Tribolium castaneum: one gene and its partners. The protein of the gene in region 1 interacts with the protein of each later gene in a biochemical or structural test. Links are inferred from orthologs where the notes say so. Each region holds a gene or a part of one and is shown on either strand. Other genes may lie near its edges. The genes, in order: Nup98-96, mbo, Nup154, Fs(2)Ket and nuclear RNA export factor 1.

Region 1 (2,944 bases):
CCAGCTGTATGTATCCTCTGTGAGGACGCAATATAACTAGTTTTTTGTTCCAGGAAGAAGGCTATTTCATGGAATATTTGCTCCGATTTGTCAGTAAAATTAACCCGATTAGTAAAGAGAATCAGGAGGATTTGATAAAACGGATAATTGCCGCATGCTCGCAGCAAACTTTGCTAATCCAAGGGAAGATGAAACCGATAGGTTTGTATTTTTGCATTTGCCGCGTTGAACACAAACCGGCCGTGGTTGCAGATAAAGGGTTTAAAAAACTGCGGGACGGAACGTTGGCTTGCACAATAGAGTTTTTCCAGTCGTTGTTTGAACTGATTGAAGTTCACCACAGCCTTAAGTCGAGTGTTTACTTAGAAGAAAGCAAGATGTATAACGAGAATGATCTCGAGAATGACTTCCAATAAACGAAATGTGTGTGTGAAATACTATTTTTTTAATGTATGTACTTCTTTAATGAATCTCCTTAATCCATCGCGTACGTTTTTATTAAAACCACTCGTCCACAATAACATATTTATTAAGCAGAAAGGAATTACAATAAACATAAAATGACAATTATTAAAAATACATAACTAACGAATTTCTGGCTCCTCTACGGTGAATTTGTTGAACAGATGAAAGAACTCATAATGCTTAATATCAGGAGGCATGGCCAGATTGTTCAAAATCTCAACAAACTTGGCTTGGAACACCGGATTATCTAAACTCTTGTGAAAAATCTTAAACAGCAAGGCACATTTTCGCGAAAGTTCAACAACGAACAGCTTCTGTTTGTCGTTATTAGTCGGAAAGCAGTTAATTCTTCGGAACAAGGAAGCTAGTTTTCCCCCAACGGACGACACTTCGGTACTTCCACCCAATGTTTCTTGCAACTCCAGAAATTCCTTAACAAGTCCAACCTGCGTGTTCCAGTTCACTAGGAGATTGGAATACGGTTGGATCTTATTGATAAAGCTATTCAAATAGTCGTACTGTTCGTTAATGAACAGCTCGGGTAAAATATTGTCAATAAAAGCGGCATTGGCCTCTTGCCACTTCCCCATGTAGATGTAGTGCTGGAAGTACTCGTAGTAGCGACCGGCGATTTTGGCTTTCGTAGCTTTGATTTCGTGGATCCAAGATGCGGGAATTTTGAAAGTCTTCACAAGTTCTCTCTCAACTGACTCGGTTCGAGTCGAGAGATTCCTATCAAGGATTCTCATCACCAGATTCTTTTTCAACAAGTTGTTTTCAAGGAAGAGGAGGCAGAAGATCGCCCACTTCCAAAGGCCCAAGTTCTCCAACTGGGTGGCGAACGTTGTGTGCAAGTGATCCTTTTCCGACTCGCGAATCAACCCGACTCGCAATGACGCAAACAATTGAAGCAAAAACCAACTACAATATTCAATTTACACAAAACTGTTTGTTTTTTTGCAAACTTACCTAAGCCGATAGTCCATGAGATTATCAGTGTGTGTTTCGGGATGCAAAACATTACATAATTGATGCGTACCATCAACATAAAGCGTCAAAATTTGGTAGAGAATATCGTAGTGTTTTACTGGCGAATCAGCCTCGCAGTGCGGCGGTACCGGCTTTGCTGCATAGTCAAGTTCCTCAAACGCTTTCTTATACAAATTAAACGCCACACTAATCGGAGCTGCAGCTGGGGCCACGTACCACAAATGCACCCCGAAACTCCTCATCCAGTCCAGATCCTCACAAGTGTTTATAATTTCATGCACCGGTATGCCGGCAAGAAGCAAATACAATCTTTTGAAATCATCAGTGATTACATCCCTCTCCCTCCATTCAAAACTCTCCACGTATTTCCTCAACCAGGCTTTCACCCTCTCGTTGGCACTCATCTGGCTGATCAGCAGACTCAACTGACTCAAATTGTTGCTACCGGCCAACTCGCTCGCTTCAGCAATTTTATGGAATGACAATAGTTTGAAAATCGTTTTAAATGCCTCACTTTCGTCACGACCGATTCGGTCATGCAAAGTTACGTCGCCGGATAACTCGTACGAAAATTTTCTCAACCAGTCACTGACGTACTGTCTTCGCATACAAGGCGTGTTATCGCCCGGTCCCCACAGCGCCAAACACAAATTCCAAACGCTACAATAGTACTTTTCCCGGCCTGACAGTGGCTGAGTTTTTACGTAATCGTTGAATAAATCGGTTTGTTTTTGCAGGTAATTCAAGTCGCATTTAATACGAAGAGTTGGTATTTGGTTATTATCAAGCACGATATCACTTTCCTCAAGGGTTACTTTAAGTAAATCAGTCAAGTTTGGCTACAATCAAATTATACAACACATGATAAGATAACACAAACGCACAACTAACCATTGCTGAGTTCGCATTCATGACATCGACGTTACAATGAGTGAGGGCATAAACCACCTCGTTGTCAGCAACAGGATCATAGTTATAGAAATTGAAACCTTTCCCCCACCCCACTTTATACGTGTTGCAGCGGAAGACGCCCATCTCCGTGTAACACTTTTGAGTTGTGGTGACTTTTTCCGGAACGATTGCCACTAAATAAATAAACAAATATAGCTTTATTTCTTAGAAAACAAAAATACTATTAAAATATTATATAACAAACTGAAAATTATTTAATCGTACGTAATAGACACGCTGTAATATTTTAGAAAAAACTGGTAACACAATAGTTACTGGAACAATTCGAGCTGTTTTAAGGGCCATGGAAATAATCTACTTTAGAATGCTGATTTCCTGCACACTTACGTCTGATATCCGGTAGTTTGTAGACCTTAGGCGTCACAATAACCTTGCTCGGGATTAGCTGTTGTTTGAGAACACTTTGCGTCTTCTTCGGTTCTTGACTCTCCAAATTGACAAAAAGCGACGACTTGAGCGTCTGGATCGACGATTCTGTGTGGTACATCTCCTCCGAAATGGTGTATTGATCCTCTTC
Region 2 (3,519 bases), on another chromosome or scaffold:
TTAAACTAGTCACCTGCAGAACACCACATCTCTGCTATCGGCCCCATAGAGCAGGTGCATGGCCGGCAGCTCCATCACTATGATTCCGGACGGGCCGGCCACCAGCAGCAATGTTCCGGTATCGTTGACCAGCAATAACTCCGGTTGGAACATGACCGGAAGTACGGGGAAGAGATTCTGTGAAAGAAGAAGAAGAAAATTATTTATTATTTTTTGCGCTCGTTTGATAAACGAGGTGCAATTAAGTGGAAAAATTCGGGTGGCGCGACCGCATCGTTTTATATCCTGATATTGATGCATAAAAAATAAGGAGATCGCCCCGTACTAATCCCGGTTATTGCCTAATTTAAATCGGGCCCGGGAAAAGCGAGCGTATAAATTATTGAAATTATTATATTAAAAAATCCATCTAAGAAGTCAAAGAAGCTATTATCCACGACCGTTTTGCCGTTAACTAAGAGCTATTTTTCCACGGCCGGAGGCTTTTTCGGTCTCGTAAAAATAGATTTAAAATTAACGAACGACTTGCACACACCCTCCGATCCACGACGAGGAAAGAGGAGGAAAAACGCCCCCTGTGTGTATCGGAGAGGACAACGGAATGGAAATTTTACGCTAATGGGGGATCTTATCCAGATGAAGATCTCCAACAATAAGAAAAATCATAATTAAAGCAATAAATCCTTTTCAATCGAAAGAACAGTTATCGGATTGACATTGCTTAAGACATTAAAAAATAAAATTCGGGCAAAAATTTCTGGCAAAAGTCAGGAAATTAACAATAAGTAAAAAAGTGTAAAGAACTAAAAACTAAGACGAAAACACACAAATGTAAAACAAATGCAAAAAAAAAGTAAAAAAAATATAAATAAAAAATAAATAAAATTATTACAATGATAGATAAATCCATTTTTGCGCCGGTTAGAATCTTTTATTGAAATAATATTTTAACAAACTTAACCACTAACGAGAATAAAGTACCTAAATAAACTGTCAATTTTGCTTTGTTAAATTAATAAATGATAAACAGTCTAACTAAATCCAAATTGTTTTCAATCAAAAAAATCAAACAAAATTCCAAAAATTATGCTTTGGTTCTGCAGCATTTCAATAACTCTACTTTAGCACATAATCAAAAAAAATCCCGAATTTTTTGTCCTTGTTCAAAGGAAATTCAGAAAGATACTGAACAGTGTAGAAATAAGAAACACTTCACTGACGAAAGACACATTACTATAACCAAAAGTAACCAAAAGAAATTGAGGATAAATAAATCTAGCACTAGAAATTAAAAATGGTAAAAAAGAAAAACAAGTAGAAAAAAAATAAAAAAATTAAAAAAAAATTAAAACACGAAAATAAAATACAGAGAGTATAAAATTATACACCCTTTGTGTAAAAAAAAGCAAAGAAAAAAAGTTTTTAACGGAAATTTTTAAAGACTAATAACGCAAATTTGGAGCTAGTTTTCGTTTTATTCTTAGAGAAGCAGTCAATATAAAAACTTTGCATTTGTTGCCTTAGGTCTAATTAAAAACCAAATTGGTTTCCATCAATAGAATCAAATGGAATTTCATAAATTATGCTTTGGTTTTGCAGCATTTCAACAACTTTACTTTAGCACATATTAAAAAAAATCCCAAATTTTTTGTTCTTGTTCAGAAGCCACAAAAATACCAAAGTATCCAAAAAGAAAAAAGAAAACCTTTGTAACAAAAACAAAATAAAAAAGTAAAAAAGTACTACAGCGAATACAAAACACAATCAAAATTTTTATAATGAACCAAAAGTAACCAAAAAAAATTGAAGATAAAAATCAAAAATAAAAAAAAAATTCAAAGAATTCCAAACACTAAAACTCTAAAATTAGAGCGCATAAAATTATACACCGTTTGTGTATGAAAATAAAAAAAAACAAAGTTTTTAAATGATATTATGAACGACTAATAACTCAATGCTTTAGCCAATCAGAAACGAAGTTTTCGTTTTGTTCGTAGAGAAGCAGACAATATAAAAATTTTGCTGTTATTGCTTTATTGGTCCAATTAAATAAACAAATCGTTTTACAATCAAGAGAATGATATTAGGTAACTCTATTTCGAAAAAAAACAAGCAATTAGAAATTTTGTTTTGCTTTATAAATAGGTAGACTCTAAATGACCTCACTATCCAAGAAAAACTCAAATTTATTGTTTTTTCAATTCCAATTTATTCAAGAAAAAGCAAATATACAACAAAAAAATAATTAGCAATAAAAAAAAACAGAACAAATTAAGCCAAACAACTAAAAACAAAGCAAATGCAAAAAAATTCGAAGATTTATATTTATATTATAAATATATTATTTATATTATAAATTTATACGATAGAAATTTAAATAAAAATGTATGGAAATATTTTCGCTGTATGTTTTATTTTTGGTTTGTTTTTTATTTTATTGATTTGGGTTACAAAGCTCTGTTTTAAACACAAATAGAACGATTGCTGCTACTATTAGAAACACCAGAAATTTAAGACTGAAGAAAGAATAAAGAAAGAATTACGTAAAAAAAATAAAATAAAGGAAAAAGCAGTAAAAAAGCAAAATAAGTAATTTGAAATTTTGAAATACAATTATGCCCTTGAAAATTTGACAATTTGACCGGAAAAGATCTGTTGGATGTTTAGAAAGGCAGTAATAAGTATTTATATTTTTCACGACGTTTCGATTTTTTATTAAATTTTCATCAGATTGCAATATTAATACGTGTTGCTTAAACATGATATTATAAGTTTAAATGTAAAATAATGTGTGCCACTTTGTATATACAGAAACAGACTTAGTAAAATTACTTTGAACGTTGGATATACCAGGTGATTCATCTAAGAAAACACAAAATTTACTACTATATTTTTTTAAGTTTTGGAGCGACAATTGTATGTAACAGATACGTGCATATTAATTATGGTTTACAATAATGAAATAATAATTTAATGTTTAAAGTCCAGTTAAAATATAAAAAAATGTACATGAAAAAAATAAAAAACATTTGCACAGTTTTCAATCGTGATAATTTCAACAACTGAAAAAAACTGCATTCCAGGCATTTGGGAATAAAATGCTTTTTTTTAAGACAGTCTTTGCTCGCAAATGCGTTAATTGTCTGCAACCTCCCTTCGGCTCCTTAACCCTTCCAGGAAACTGATAGAGCCCATCAGTAGCGGAATAATCAAAAGTGCCTCGGAATGATTTGCATAGGAATCACATCTGAGATAACGACAACCCTTGCGACACTCGCCCGTTATCAGGACGTTGATTGGCCCCCGGTTTTAATCGTTCGAACTGTCCTATCACCTAACCCATCACTGCGTTTCTTCGCTCTTAAAATAAATTTTTGCCACACAAAAGCAATAATCACCCCTTTTACCAAACACCGGAAAACGGAATTAACTCGTGTGCTCTCTATTAAGTTATTAATTCAGGAGCGAACTACCATAAATTATGGAATTTTTGAAAGCGCATACCACAAGGTAGCATCA
Region 3 (2,677 bases), on another chromosome or scaffold:
AGCACCGTTGCAAGAAGAAAATTTAATGAGCGTTTTAGAGCTTCTTGAGTTACAGGCGAGGGCAAGGGCCATCAGGTCGCAACTTATGCTGGAAGCTAGCAAGAAAAATACGCAACAAACGCCAGTTGAGGAGCATAATGACTCCGATAATGACGATGTCATAATTGAAATACCGAAAAATGAGGAAATTGTCATAACTTCTAGTGACTCCGAGACCGAACAACCAAAAGATAAAAATGAAACTGAACCCGAAACACAGAAGAAGAAAATCAAGTTGATTAGAGACAGACTAGACAAACAGAAGTCTCCTGAACCCCCACAGGATAAGGAAAATGTGGAACAAGCTGATAACAGCGAACCAAAAGACGCAAGTAATGTGGAGGAAGCAAACAAAAATAGTGATAAAGTAGAGGAAAAGAATGACCCACAACCTGAATGTACAAACGACGACGATGAAATAATCCTCATTGTAGATCAGGAAGAAATGGATGGGATAATAAACGACTAGTTAGAAAAAATCAGTTTATTTGTTTGTAAATTCTTAAAATATAAAATAAGACCAATATTTCAAATTAGTGAACACAATAATCTAGGCACAAACTTCCCGTTTTACAACCTTGACAATTTGCTCTGAATGCCTCTCAACATATTGATTAGTTCCTCAGTGTTGGCTTTACTGTACAAAATTGATAAAAGACTGGCCACTGTGTCCTGACACTGCGAAATAATTTTTCGCCTACAAAAAAAAAATTAAAACGCAATAGATATTCACTTGACTTACTTTTGCACGCTGTTGTACGCTTCATGACTGTTGAGAAACGTCTCAATAAGTGCAGCCACAGCTTCAAATAAATGAAACTCGTTCTCTTCCTTTTGCCAAATTTGAATCTCAGAAATGGAAGATATAAGCCTGTTGTAAATTTCAAGCAGACTTTCAAGCGGAAATTCCATCGCGACGAAAGCTTTGGGAACAAAAGACCGGTCCGCTTTTAAATACGTCGACAATTGCTCCAGTTCGGAAACAAGAAATGCTAAAAAATTACGATAAATAACCGAATTTTTTTATTTTTTTTTACCAATGGGGAAACACTGGGTTGAAGTGCCACTTTGTCGCGCCACGTGCTTGACTTTGGCCAAAATTTGGGCCATTCTGTTATTGGGATTGCCGGTACTTTTCCTAATTTCACGCCTCAAAATATTGCGCCAAATTTTCTCAATTAAATTCTCGTCTGTGTACCCAGCACAGTCGATAATGGCAAGCTGGCATTCCCACAGCTCGAGCGGGTCAGCGAAATTTTCATACAACTATGAAACCACAATAAAAACACAAAAATTATTCCAAGCCACTTACTTGCGAAATCTGGTACAACCCAGAATTCAAAGCCCTGATCGCGTCCTCAGCTGCCGGGTGTGACTCCCTTAAGCCAATCACAGCGTCCAAAATCTGCTCTTGCACTTTAGCCACTTCCATTTTATCCTCAAGATCCCGCAGGAAAACCCCCAAATAGGGGGCATAGCCCACTTTGTCACTCCGCATGCACATTATGGCACGTGTCAAATACTCCAAACGCTCTTTCAAATTCAGCGAATTCCTACAGGAAAAAAATAATCACACGAAATCGCAAACAAAAAAATTAGTTACCCCGTTTTTGACGCCAGACTATCAAGGATTTTGGCGGCAGCTGCGTGGTTATTATTATTTTCGTAATATTTCCACAACAAGTCGACAACAGCAACATTTTCGGGGTTCTGTTGCGACGTGTGAAGCAGATAAGTTTCAAGGGACGTGTTATTGACTTTAATTAGTTCGCTGCTCAGTTGTTTCTTCATCATCCAATCATACAGAGCCACGTGTAAAATTTCGTCCGGGTATTCCAAAATATCGCTGATTAATTGGTTGACCAGCAATCGGGCGTCACTTTCTAGCGGCATTCCAGAACTGATACTCAAATTTGGGGTGTTTTCGGTACATAACGTGTCCAACATATTAAACACTTCTTTGTAAATATTCAACCTGGACAACAATTTAATTACGAGGAACGAACTTATTTGAATTTACCTTTTGTGGTAGAAATCTCGGCCTTCTTGGTCCGCAACGGACGAATCATTTTTATAAAAATGCTGCGCTATGTTATCCGGATCGACTTTTTTGGCACAAGTTATGCACAAGTCAATGACAGCATGATAGGCTTTAAGCGTAACAAATTGTTTACAAATCCCCGGTAAATTAATGTTTGGTGCGATAGATTTGCACAATTCAAGTGCATTCATGACCATTTCTTCCTTTTCGTCAACGTTTTGTATGTTTCGGGACGATTTCAGCATTTCGTTGGCTTTCGAAAATGCCGCATCTTCGATTTTGTACAAATGTGGGCAAACTTCTCTCAACTTGGTACTAATCGAGTCGACTGAGGCGTTATCACCCAGATAACTATCAACCAAAGTGGTGATCAGCAAGGAACAAATGTCTTGTCCGTACAAGAACAGGTCTTTAAAAGTGGTATCTTGTAAAATAGTCTGATGGTTCGCTGGTAACGAACCGATCAGAACATGGAACTGGTGTTCGCATAAAATCCGCCAAAGTCCCATGACTTGGCAACAGTGGCACACGAACAATTTGAGAGAGTTTAGTGATAAGCGCTCCTCAACTTGCGCATCTTGAATGGTGTGATTCAGG
Region 4 (4,319 bases), on another chromosome or scaffold:
GAGACAGACAAAGAATGATTTTTTGCGCCCGATGCTGTCATTTAACATCCCGAAGTAGTAGACGCCCACAGGGCCCCCCAAGTTTAGGGCCACGAGGCCCAAGGTGGGGTAAATACTTTTGTCACAAACTAACTCAAACTGGAACTATTGTTAGCAAAATAGTTGGTTTGTGTGACTACGTACGTCTGTGACAATGCTGGAGGAGGCGTCTTGGTCAAACTCCCACCCGTCAGAACACCCCTCGGTGGCCCCCGAGGTGATATTGTCCATGATTTGTGTCCAGTTAATTGTGTATCTCAGACATTTGGAGAAAGAGTTGTTGTTTTTCGGGATGAAGAGATTTTTTCGTTCTTCTTGTGTCAGATTGAGTGTTTGTGGTGTTTTGCACCAATGATCGGGCGTTTCGGTCATGAACAGTTGGTTGAAGGCGCAAAAACCGCACGGGAGGCATGCAGGGAGACAGATGAGCCAGAGAAGTAGTTTCTGATATCGTCCGAATTCGCCCACTTGGGGTAAAAGGTCGTCTAGGTCAAGCGATTCCTGGAATTTTTCGCGCTCAGATTTGTTGGGTTGGGTGCGAAAGTGGTACTTACGCTATGGTTTTGTTCATTTTGATCCATTTTGCGCAACACTGAGTGACCATTGCTGGGTTTATAAGTGAAGACTTAGGAGTGAGGTTTATGAGATTATTTCCCGCTTGCCTGAAATCAATCACTAATCATATAAATTACGGTGAGAGTCAGTTGGGGCGATGCAACACGAACACAGACACAACCCTGGATTTATTCGAAAAGTCTTACCTTTGGTCGAATTTTGCGAAATTTTGCTGCGGCTGGGTGAAAGAAAACAGGGTGTAAAGAAAGGAAACATTTATTATCCGTACAACTACAAAAATCCCAATTCTGCGGGAGTGATCCCAAGCGTTTGGGAGGGAATTTAAAAAGTGAAATATCCTAACTGAAAAGGCGTGCAGGGAATTTAACTTAACAAAATTAAAATCTAATACAATTTTGATGAATTGGTCAATAGGCACCCTAGACATGGTAACATTTTTAAGGGAAAAGAAGAAAAGTAACCGGTGTTCGACAATACCAAGTTTGGAATAAGCCGCATTTTGCGTCAACTTTCATACGGCATTTGAGCTTTACTAGGCTATTTAATTAATAAATTCAGTCTTCAGAACACACAGAAAACCATATTGTCAAACATCGGCGCGTTTGGGGTGATTACAGATTAACAATCAACATGGCACAATCAAAACAAAACATTCAACCAATAAAATATGCAACCATAAACATTTCCACTCAAAACCCTTCCAATTAATTGTAACGCAACCTTTTTGCACATGAACATTCGTAGAATTCGAAATAATTTTAAAAAGATCATGGATTAAAATCACACTTTGGCTGGTTCACAAAACCATAAAAATGAGCTTTTTAAAATTAAATATCTCGGTGTGCATAAAACAGTTAGAAGCTTCAATAAATAATTTAGGCCAGTAGAAATTCTTACACTACTTCATAATAAAATTCTTCATACTTCGTACATACAAAATATACAACCACACTACTTACATACTATACAAGTGATTTCATACAGCCTTTGAACCCAGACGTGGGCAATAGTTAAAATAACCCATCGCTAATGTACCTTCCAAAACAACGAAGGTCGCTTAATGGACTAGTGATAAAAATAAACACAAAAATTGGTTTATTTCAATATTGCCCACGGAAAAATATCACACATACAAGGAATTTATAATTATAATTCTAGAATTATAATTACGAAAACATTGAGAAGGTTTCGTTATACGCATTTAAAAAACTAATGGAATTTGAATGTATCTTTTTCGTGTTTTGGCAACTACAGAAACCTTCTCAAATCACAGATTCTTTTTTACTTTGTTGCGATACCCACCCTCCCTTTCAAGCACTTTCGTATATTTAATCAGCGTGTCGACTTATACGAAAAACTCGAAAATTTTCATACACCACCCACGCAAGGCACAATCAGGCCTCACAAAAATCTTTCATAAAAAATACCAGTCACAAGATTTATTATTCTCAAATTTCCTGAGTATGAATTCAGTGAATTGGAAATTGTTTCAAAAAAATCAACCAGGGAAAAACCGAAACACGCTCCTCTGGACAGTTTTTGATTATCGCAGTCTTTTGCTTTTTAAGAGAAAAGTTAATATAAATTCGCAAAATCTAAAGAAGCACCAGAGCGTGTTTTGCTTTTTTCCGCAATGAAATTACACACAACTTCAGCGAAACAAAGAAGCAATAATAAATCAGGATTTTAAGATTACTTCTGTCTGACTGCAGTGCATAGGTAATTTCTTCACCAAAGACCATTATAAAAATAACTACTTATGATTAATTCGATATGTGAAATAGACAAATGCTTTTATTGTAATCAAGTACAACACTAAAGTGAAGACGAACGTAAAAGACGCAACAAGTGATAGAGGAGACACCACTTCACTCTTCAGTCTTGAGCTAAACCGCCTTTCACGAAACCAGGCGAAGATTCAGACACTATTCACAAGCGTTCACAGCTACGATTAGCACTCACAGTTTATCAAGAGTCCATATGCATCAGCACTCACTCTGCACCCCGAAAACCGAAAGTATTGGGGAACAATACCATGTCAAACTAGCTGACCAGCTTTACTCAACCGAGAGATGAGCAAAACTGGTCCGACTCAGCCAAAACGAAAACTAAAGTCTGCAAGAATTTTGGTTTTATGTATAATGCGAATCCAATATCGATGCCGTTGACCACACCTTCGTTAGATTTCCTTCTGTTAAACCACAACATGCCAAAGAAAATCTGAAACCATCGAAAGCACTGTCAAACTTCGCTCAGCACACCGATTTTCGCGAGACACATACAGTCCAACGCCAAGTCTCAAACGCAGCAGATCCAACCGACCCACCACAACTAACTTTATTTTAATTTTAAAAAAATCCCAGCTATAATTTTAATAATGTCTGTTTTATATTATTTGTAACGATTTTTTGCCAATTGGATCTGCTGAAACTGTCCACTCCCACTTACCAACTAGCTACAGCGGCCGTCGAATTAGCCTTCAACTTGCGCAACTCCTTCGTAGCCCAAGTGGCCAAAGTTCTAGTACGATTAGTTCCACTTCGTCTGCCTTTCGCCAACATCTCGTTGATCGGCTCCAAATCCAGGAGTTGTAAAAGTGGTGCTCCAAAAGCCGTACAGAGATCCCCCACCAATCCGGCAGCCACCGCAACCGTGGCATCAGAATTGAACGTGTCTTGTGCCACCACGGTTATAAATTGAACGATGAAAGGAATGTGCGGTTCGAGAATCAAAACGTCGGGATTAGGTGTCGGGCCATCGCCTTTTAAACCCTGTACAATGCCCGTGTAAGCATCAAGTACACCTTCGCGTAATTCGTTCAAATAATCGACCATATCGAAATCATCTCTATCGACTTGTGCCTGCGACGCCTGCGCTAGTGTTGTGAGAACAACATCGAGGTATTTTTTGAATTCGGGGCCGATACTTAGGACGATATCGCCGAACACTGAAAGAATCTGTGGCTTGACGCTACGGTGGACCGATTGATCGCCGAGATTTTCGAGCAGAAGAGTCATGATTTCGTCGCAATAAGGAAGAGCTTTTAGTTTGAGAGCGCGGAAAATGTCACCGGTTAGACCGACTGCGGTACCACAAACTTGGTACTCTTGGTGGTTTTTAAGGCCGATGTAAAGAAACGGCTTGAACGCGTCCATGTATTTGATGAAACCTTCACCGAGGACTTCCACCAGGGTTGACACTGCCATCAGTGCGTCCTCTTGTACACCTAACACAAACAACGTTTAATTCCCGTACTTATAATTTTTTATAATACGCCTTCAAACTAAAATCTTTAATACAATTCACTGTAAAGTGTAAGCGAAAGATTTTATTTGAAGGCGCATTTGGCTGGTGAATTACCTCCACTTTTGCACGAATTCGAGTTGAACATGGTCAGCATAGCAGTCATGATGGCGTCGGATATTTGCGGCGCGTCCTCTGGTGTAACTTTCCTCAAAACCGACTGAAGTGTTCCGCACAACAACGACTGGAGATCATTAAACTGTGACCTATCATTGTGGCTCGTAATGTGTGTTTCCATTTGTAAAACTTGTTGCAAACGTTCAAGAATCACCATTGTTGTCTTTTGTACGGTGACGTAGCAATCTTTCGGTGAATTCTTCACCATTTCCATCAAAGCCTCGTAGGCTGCCGGTCTGAGATTAGCTTGAGCGCCGTCTGGACGGTCCGTAGTCTCCAAAAGC
Region 5 (4,041 bases), on another chromosome or scaffold:
CCAGTTAGAGTTACTGGATGATTTTAGAATAAGATTATTGCAACTGGTTAACGCGGAACATGAAAATATAGTCGAATCGAAGATCCCCACGATTGCTAACACGATCTATTACATCGAGAATGTTTTAGTTGATTGGGGGGCAATGTTGGTACGGCTGGCTCGAACCGTGCGATTTGATTGGCTGAACGCAGACTTTCAGCCAATCAAATGGCACTATCTATACTTATGCAAGTGTTTCAGCACTATTTGAATTTATACTACTACAAAAGCCAGTTGAATGACTACAAAGCACCCACAAGCCCGTCAAGTGATTCGGACGACTTTGACCCCACGGATATTGAGGGTGAAACTGTTTTTGCCGAAACTTTATCACTCTATAGGCACATGAGACGCGACTTGTTATTTAATTTATCAGATTATGTCATGTTGGAAGTCAGGTCACAAGGTAAAGCCTACAGGAGGGAAAGGTGGTCCTCTATGAATGTCGGTAAAGACATCAAAGGCCTGTCTTTAACACCCACAGCCTGCCCTATTTTCGAAATCGTGGCTAAACGACTACACCAACTGCAAAAAACTCTAGCTTCGAAACTTTTTACGATAGTTTGGCGCTCGGTTGCGCAACAATTAGATAATTACCTCTTTGAGGATCTTGTCCTTGATAATAGATTTAACACTGGAGGCGCTTTGCAGTTAAAGTATGACGTAACAAGGAATTTACTGCCGTTATTTTCGCAATATACCGAAAGGCCCGAAACGTATTTCGTCCAGTAAGTTATTTACTCAGTCGGTAAAGTGGAAAATAAGAACTGTTGCAGACTGATTGAAGCTTGCAATCTTTTAAATATAACTAAAGGGTCCGCTTTGCTACTACGAGAGACTCTCTTGGCTCTTGAGGGGGCCACAGGTATTGAGGACTCCCGCGGGAGAGCCCTCAAGGAGGTTGGGGTGGTCAGCTTCACCCCAAAAATGGCCGTTAAGATTCTAAACCAGCGCACCGACATTACTGTTAATAGGATGGACGTTGATTGAAGCATTTATACGTTTTGTTGAGAAATTTTATAATAAATGTTTTCCCCACCATTGCATTTCATTGAATCACCCTGTAAGTGAATCTAGAGTAGAGTATAAAATGTTACTTCTGGGCCAGAATATTTGGCGTCTTAAAAAACAAGTCAGAACCTTACAAATTTCCTGTACTCTACTATTCAAAAGTCGGTGATTTTCTCAGGGAATTTGGCCTCGCCTTGTTGGCAGCGCGTATCAATGGCGTTTACTTGTCGAAAGTGAAGTGGTGTTAAATCAGGCTCAAAAAAATTATTAAAAAAACAATAATAGTTATAGTTAAGTGCTAGTAAGTAATTGAGACGCTACTATGGCCTCAAAGGGCGGAAAATACAACAAACCGTCGTGGAGAAGCCAATACAGTGGTAAGTCCCCAGCACACTCCACGCGATTCGTTTAAAACGCAGTAAATTGCCAGAGCATGATTTTCGCGGCGGTGGCGAGACCCGCAAAGTGAGTTTCAAGTCAAACAAGTATAAAAAGGACAATAGAAACTGGGCAGCGGCGAGTAGGGCGTACCTGGAAGATGAAGACATTGACATGGGGGCCTCGTCCGGGGGCGGGCGAAACTTCAACCGGAAGCAGTTTAAAGGCAGACGGGGCGGTCGCGGGGACTCGCCCGTGCCCAATCACAAGAAACGGCGGCTTTTGGAGAGCCCCTTCGGTTGGTACCGCGTGACAGTAAGTGTATTAAGTGAGGCTTTTTGGGGGTTTTACACGTGTTTTGCTAGTTGCCGTTTGGGAATAAATACGAGAAGGCGTTCGTCTTGAAGACGCTGCTCGAGCGGATCCAACCTTTGCCCTTGTGGCCAATTACGGTAATGGTTTGTTTGTGTGAGGGTTTTTGACTGATTTTTTGTCTCCAGTGGAGTGTAAACGGCACAACTGCCACTTTTTACATGGATGAGTTTAAAGCCGCGGAAAAGCTGTACGATTTAGATCGCCAGATTCAAATGCCCGACGGGTTTAAATTGCTGATTAAGGTCAGTCATGGGATGCCAAATGTTGACGTTAATAGTGAGATGAAGGAGAAAATTAAATTAACGATGGCTAAGCGGTACAATGCCGCTAATAAAGCGCTCGATTTAACGAAATTCCACGCCGACCCTGACCTACAAGACAATTTCTGTGTACTGTTCAAACCGATCATTTTTCTAACAGTTTTGGAAATAATCGCGGAGAATATCCCAGAAATTGAAGCGATTAATTTATTCGATAACAAAATAGCAAACTTGTCGTATTTAAAGAAGACCAATGAGAAACTGCCCCATTTAAAAATTTTGCATCTAGGAAATAATAAGGTAATGTTGTTGCCCAAAATCGGGGATTTTGTAAATTTGGGGATTCAGTTTAAGGATCTGTCAATGTTGGACCCTTTTATTGGACTACCTATCGTCGATATTGTTTTAAATGGAAATCCATTATGCAACAAATACAAGGACCAAGAGGCGTACATTGGGTAATGTTGAACTAATTTATTTTTTGTAGTCATCATGTTATGAACGTGAATGCATATGAGGGTGACTGGTTATCGGAGATTGTCACTTGAATAAAAAAGAGGTTTTCTGCCAACAATGGAATAAAAGTACTTGAAAATTATTAACGAAATTTGTTGTTACGCAAATTTCAAAGTCCCAAATTTTCGCGATAATTTGTTTAAAACTTAAGTAGCATTACATGTGGCTTCGTTGCATTGTGGCTGAATTCTGCATTTGGCAACCTTTTAATATTATTGTTTGACTATAATTAAGTCACTGAAGTGTATAAAAATAAAAAAAAATCACATACAAACATTTCCATGGGATTACATAATTTTTGTTTTGTATTATCAAAGTGAGAGGAGGTTTCTCAAAGGTGCGTCCTTACAGCAGTTACGAAGCTTCGTAAAGCGATAGCTGGACAAGCATTGCAAGATTTTGCTGTCCATAAACAATGCAGTTAGTTTAAGAAGACAGAAGAACTACAAGGAGTGGACCAGAACACTTAAATGTGTATGTAATTTGGCAAAAATGCTTGTAAATCAAGCAGATTGTCTTGTTTTTCTGCACCTTAAACAATCAATGACTCCTCATAGTACAATAATTATTATATTTTTTTGTTTTATGTAGTAATCTTATGGAATTGATACAAGACATAATAATGAAAAGAAATACTAAATAATACCGTTAAAAAATTGAAAAATTATATGCTCTTCAGTGGCGATTTATTCTAAATTTATTAGTTTTGTTGTTTAATGCAGGAGTAATATAAATTGTTGATCGTGTAATGCTGTTTTAGTTTTAAATTTACGAAGCTTGTCTTACTTTGAAATTGTGTAACAACTGTCTGATCGGTTGCAAAATTCCTCGGAGGTTTAATTCCCAAAATAACAAACTTCAATAAATTTTGATTGTTTAACACTTTGTACAAAATTAGATTTTCGTAAGTTTTTGAATTAAACTGAAGAGGGCACAAAATACTGGAGCTATTGTATCCTATTTTTTTTCAAATAAATAATGTGTTAGGAAATGAGAAGTGGCTGAAAATACGGTACAAAAATCACTAACTCAGAATTTGTGACTAAATCAATTTCCGTTCCTAGAAAAAAAATCAGCATAAAGCTGTATTTATTCTTTTTCATTTACATAATAATTTTTTTTTCGCCCAAATACTTCTTGAATGAGTTTATCCCACTAATTCACAATTGTAACATAGTTATAATTCCGTTCCTAGAAAAAAATTCAAAATAAAGCAGTATTTCTTCTTTTTTTATTTACATAATAAAATATTTACAACATATTTACATAATAAATTATTTTTGCTTAAATACTTGAATGAGTTTCAACGTTTCATCAAGGGTGGATTTTATAATCGTCAGATAAACCCCAGATAATTTATTTCTAGTATAATTACTATGGTTACAATTGTTATAACAATGTATTTTTCAAAATTTATTTCTTAGATAAAGTAATCCTACGATTGTAAAATCCGCCCTAAATG

The links.
Region 2: the proteins of Nup98-96 (region 1) and mbo form a complex in vitro, tested with the Homo sapiens proteins (2 studies listed by BioGRID). The link is inferred for Tribolium castaneum from reciprocal best matches to the Homo sapiens genes NUP98 and NUP88.
Region 3: the proteins of Nup98-96 (region 1) and Nup154 form a complex in vitro, tested with the Homo sapiens proteins (2 studies listed by BioGRID). The link is inferred for Tribolium castaneum from reciprocal best matches to the Homo sapiens genes NUP98 and NUP155.
Region 4: the proteins of Nup98-96 (region 1) and Fs(2)Ket form a complex in vitro, tested with the Homo sapiens proteins (3 studies listed by BioGRID). The link is inferred for Tribolium castaneum from reciprocal best matches to the Homo sapiens genes NUP98 and KPNB1.
Region 5: the proteins of Nup98-96 (region 1) and nuclear RNA export factor 1 form a complex in vitro, tested with the Homo sapiens proteins (5 studies listed by BioGRID and IntAct). The link is inferred for Tribolium castaneum from reciprocal best matches to the Homo sapiens genes NUP98 and NXF1.

What each region holds. Positions count from the first base shown.
Region 1 is NC_087403.1:3,508,282-3,511,225, forward strand, and holds the end of Nup98-96 (nuclear pore complex protein Nup98-Nup96), read right to left. Parts: coding exon 2,755-2,944; intron 2,541-2,754; coding exon 2,347-2,540; intron 2,295-2,346; coding exon 1,435-2,294; intron 1,387-1,434; coding exon 585-1,386; 3' UTR 512-584; downstream 1-511. Other genes in the region: protein tyrosine phosphatase domain-containing protein 1, read left to right, coding at 1-6, 54-201, 253-416. UniProt on the Homo sapiens protein: Plays a role in the nuclear pore complex (NPC) assembly and/or maintenance. NUP98 and NUP96 are involved in the bidirectional transport across the NPC. May anchor NUP153 and TPR to the NPC.
Region 2 is NC_087401.1:12,421,540-12,425,058, reverse strand, and holds part of mbo (nuclear pore complex protein Nup88), read right to left. Parts: intron 178-3,519; coding exon 14-177; intron 1-13. UniProt on the Homo sapiens protein: Component of nuclear pore complex.
Region 3 is NC_087397.1:1,220,655-1,223,331, reverse strand, and holds the end of Nup154 (nuclear pore complex protein Nup154), read right to left. Parts: coding exon 2,060-2,677; intron 2,015-2,059; coding exon 1,643-2,014; intron 1,593-1,642; coding exon 1,352-1,592; intron 1,306-1,351; coding exon 1,077-1,305; intron 1,032-1,076; coding exon 782-1,031; intron 737-781; coding exon 610-736; 3' UTR 509-609; downstream 1-508. Other genes in the region: DNA ligase 1, read left to right, coding at 1-508.
Region 4 is NC_087398.1:2,426,372-2,430,690, forward strand, and holds the end of Fs(2)Ket (importin subunit beta-1), read right to left. Parts: coding exon 3,976-4,319; intron 3,842-3,975; coding exon 3,064-3,841; intron 2,836-3,063; coding exon of another isoform or gene 2,835-2,835; exon of another isoform or gene 855-2,834; intron 702-854; coding exon 594-701; intron 541-593; coding exon 525-540; downstream 1-524. Other genes in the region: CarT (carcinine transporter), read right to left, coding at 1-138, 184-540, 594-620.
Region 5 is NC_087399.1:3,670,958-3,674,998, forward strand, and holds the start of nuclear RNA export factor 1, read left to right. Parts: upstream 1-1,235; 5' UTR 1,236-1,372; coding exon 1,373-1,427; intron 1,428-1,480; coding exon 1,481-1,743; intron 1,744-1,793; coding exon 1,794-1,880; intron 1,881-1,928; coding exon 1,929-2,363; intron 2,364-2,411; coding exon 2,412-2,521; intron 2,522-4,041. Other genes in the region: Rint1 (RAD50-interacting protein 1), read left to right, coding at 1-148, 241-767, 816-1,029.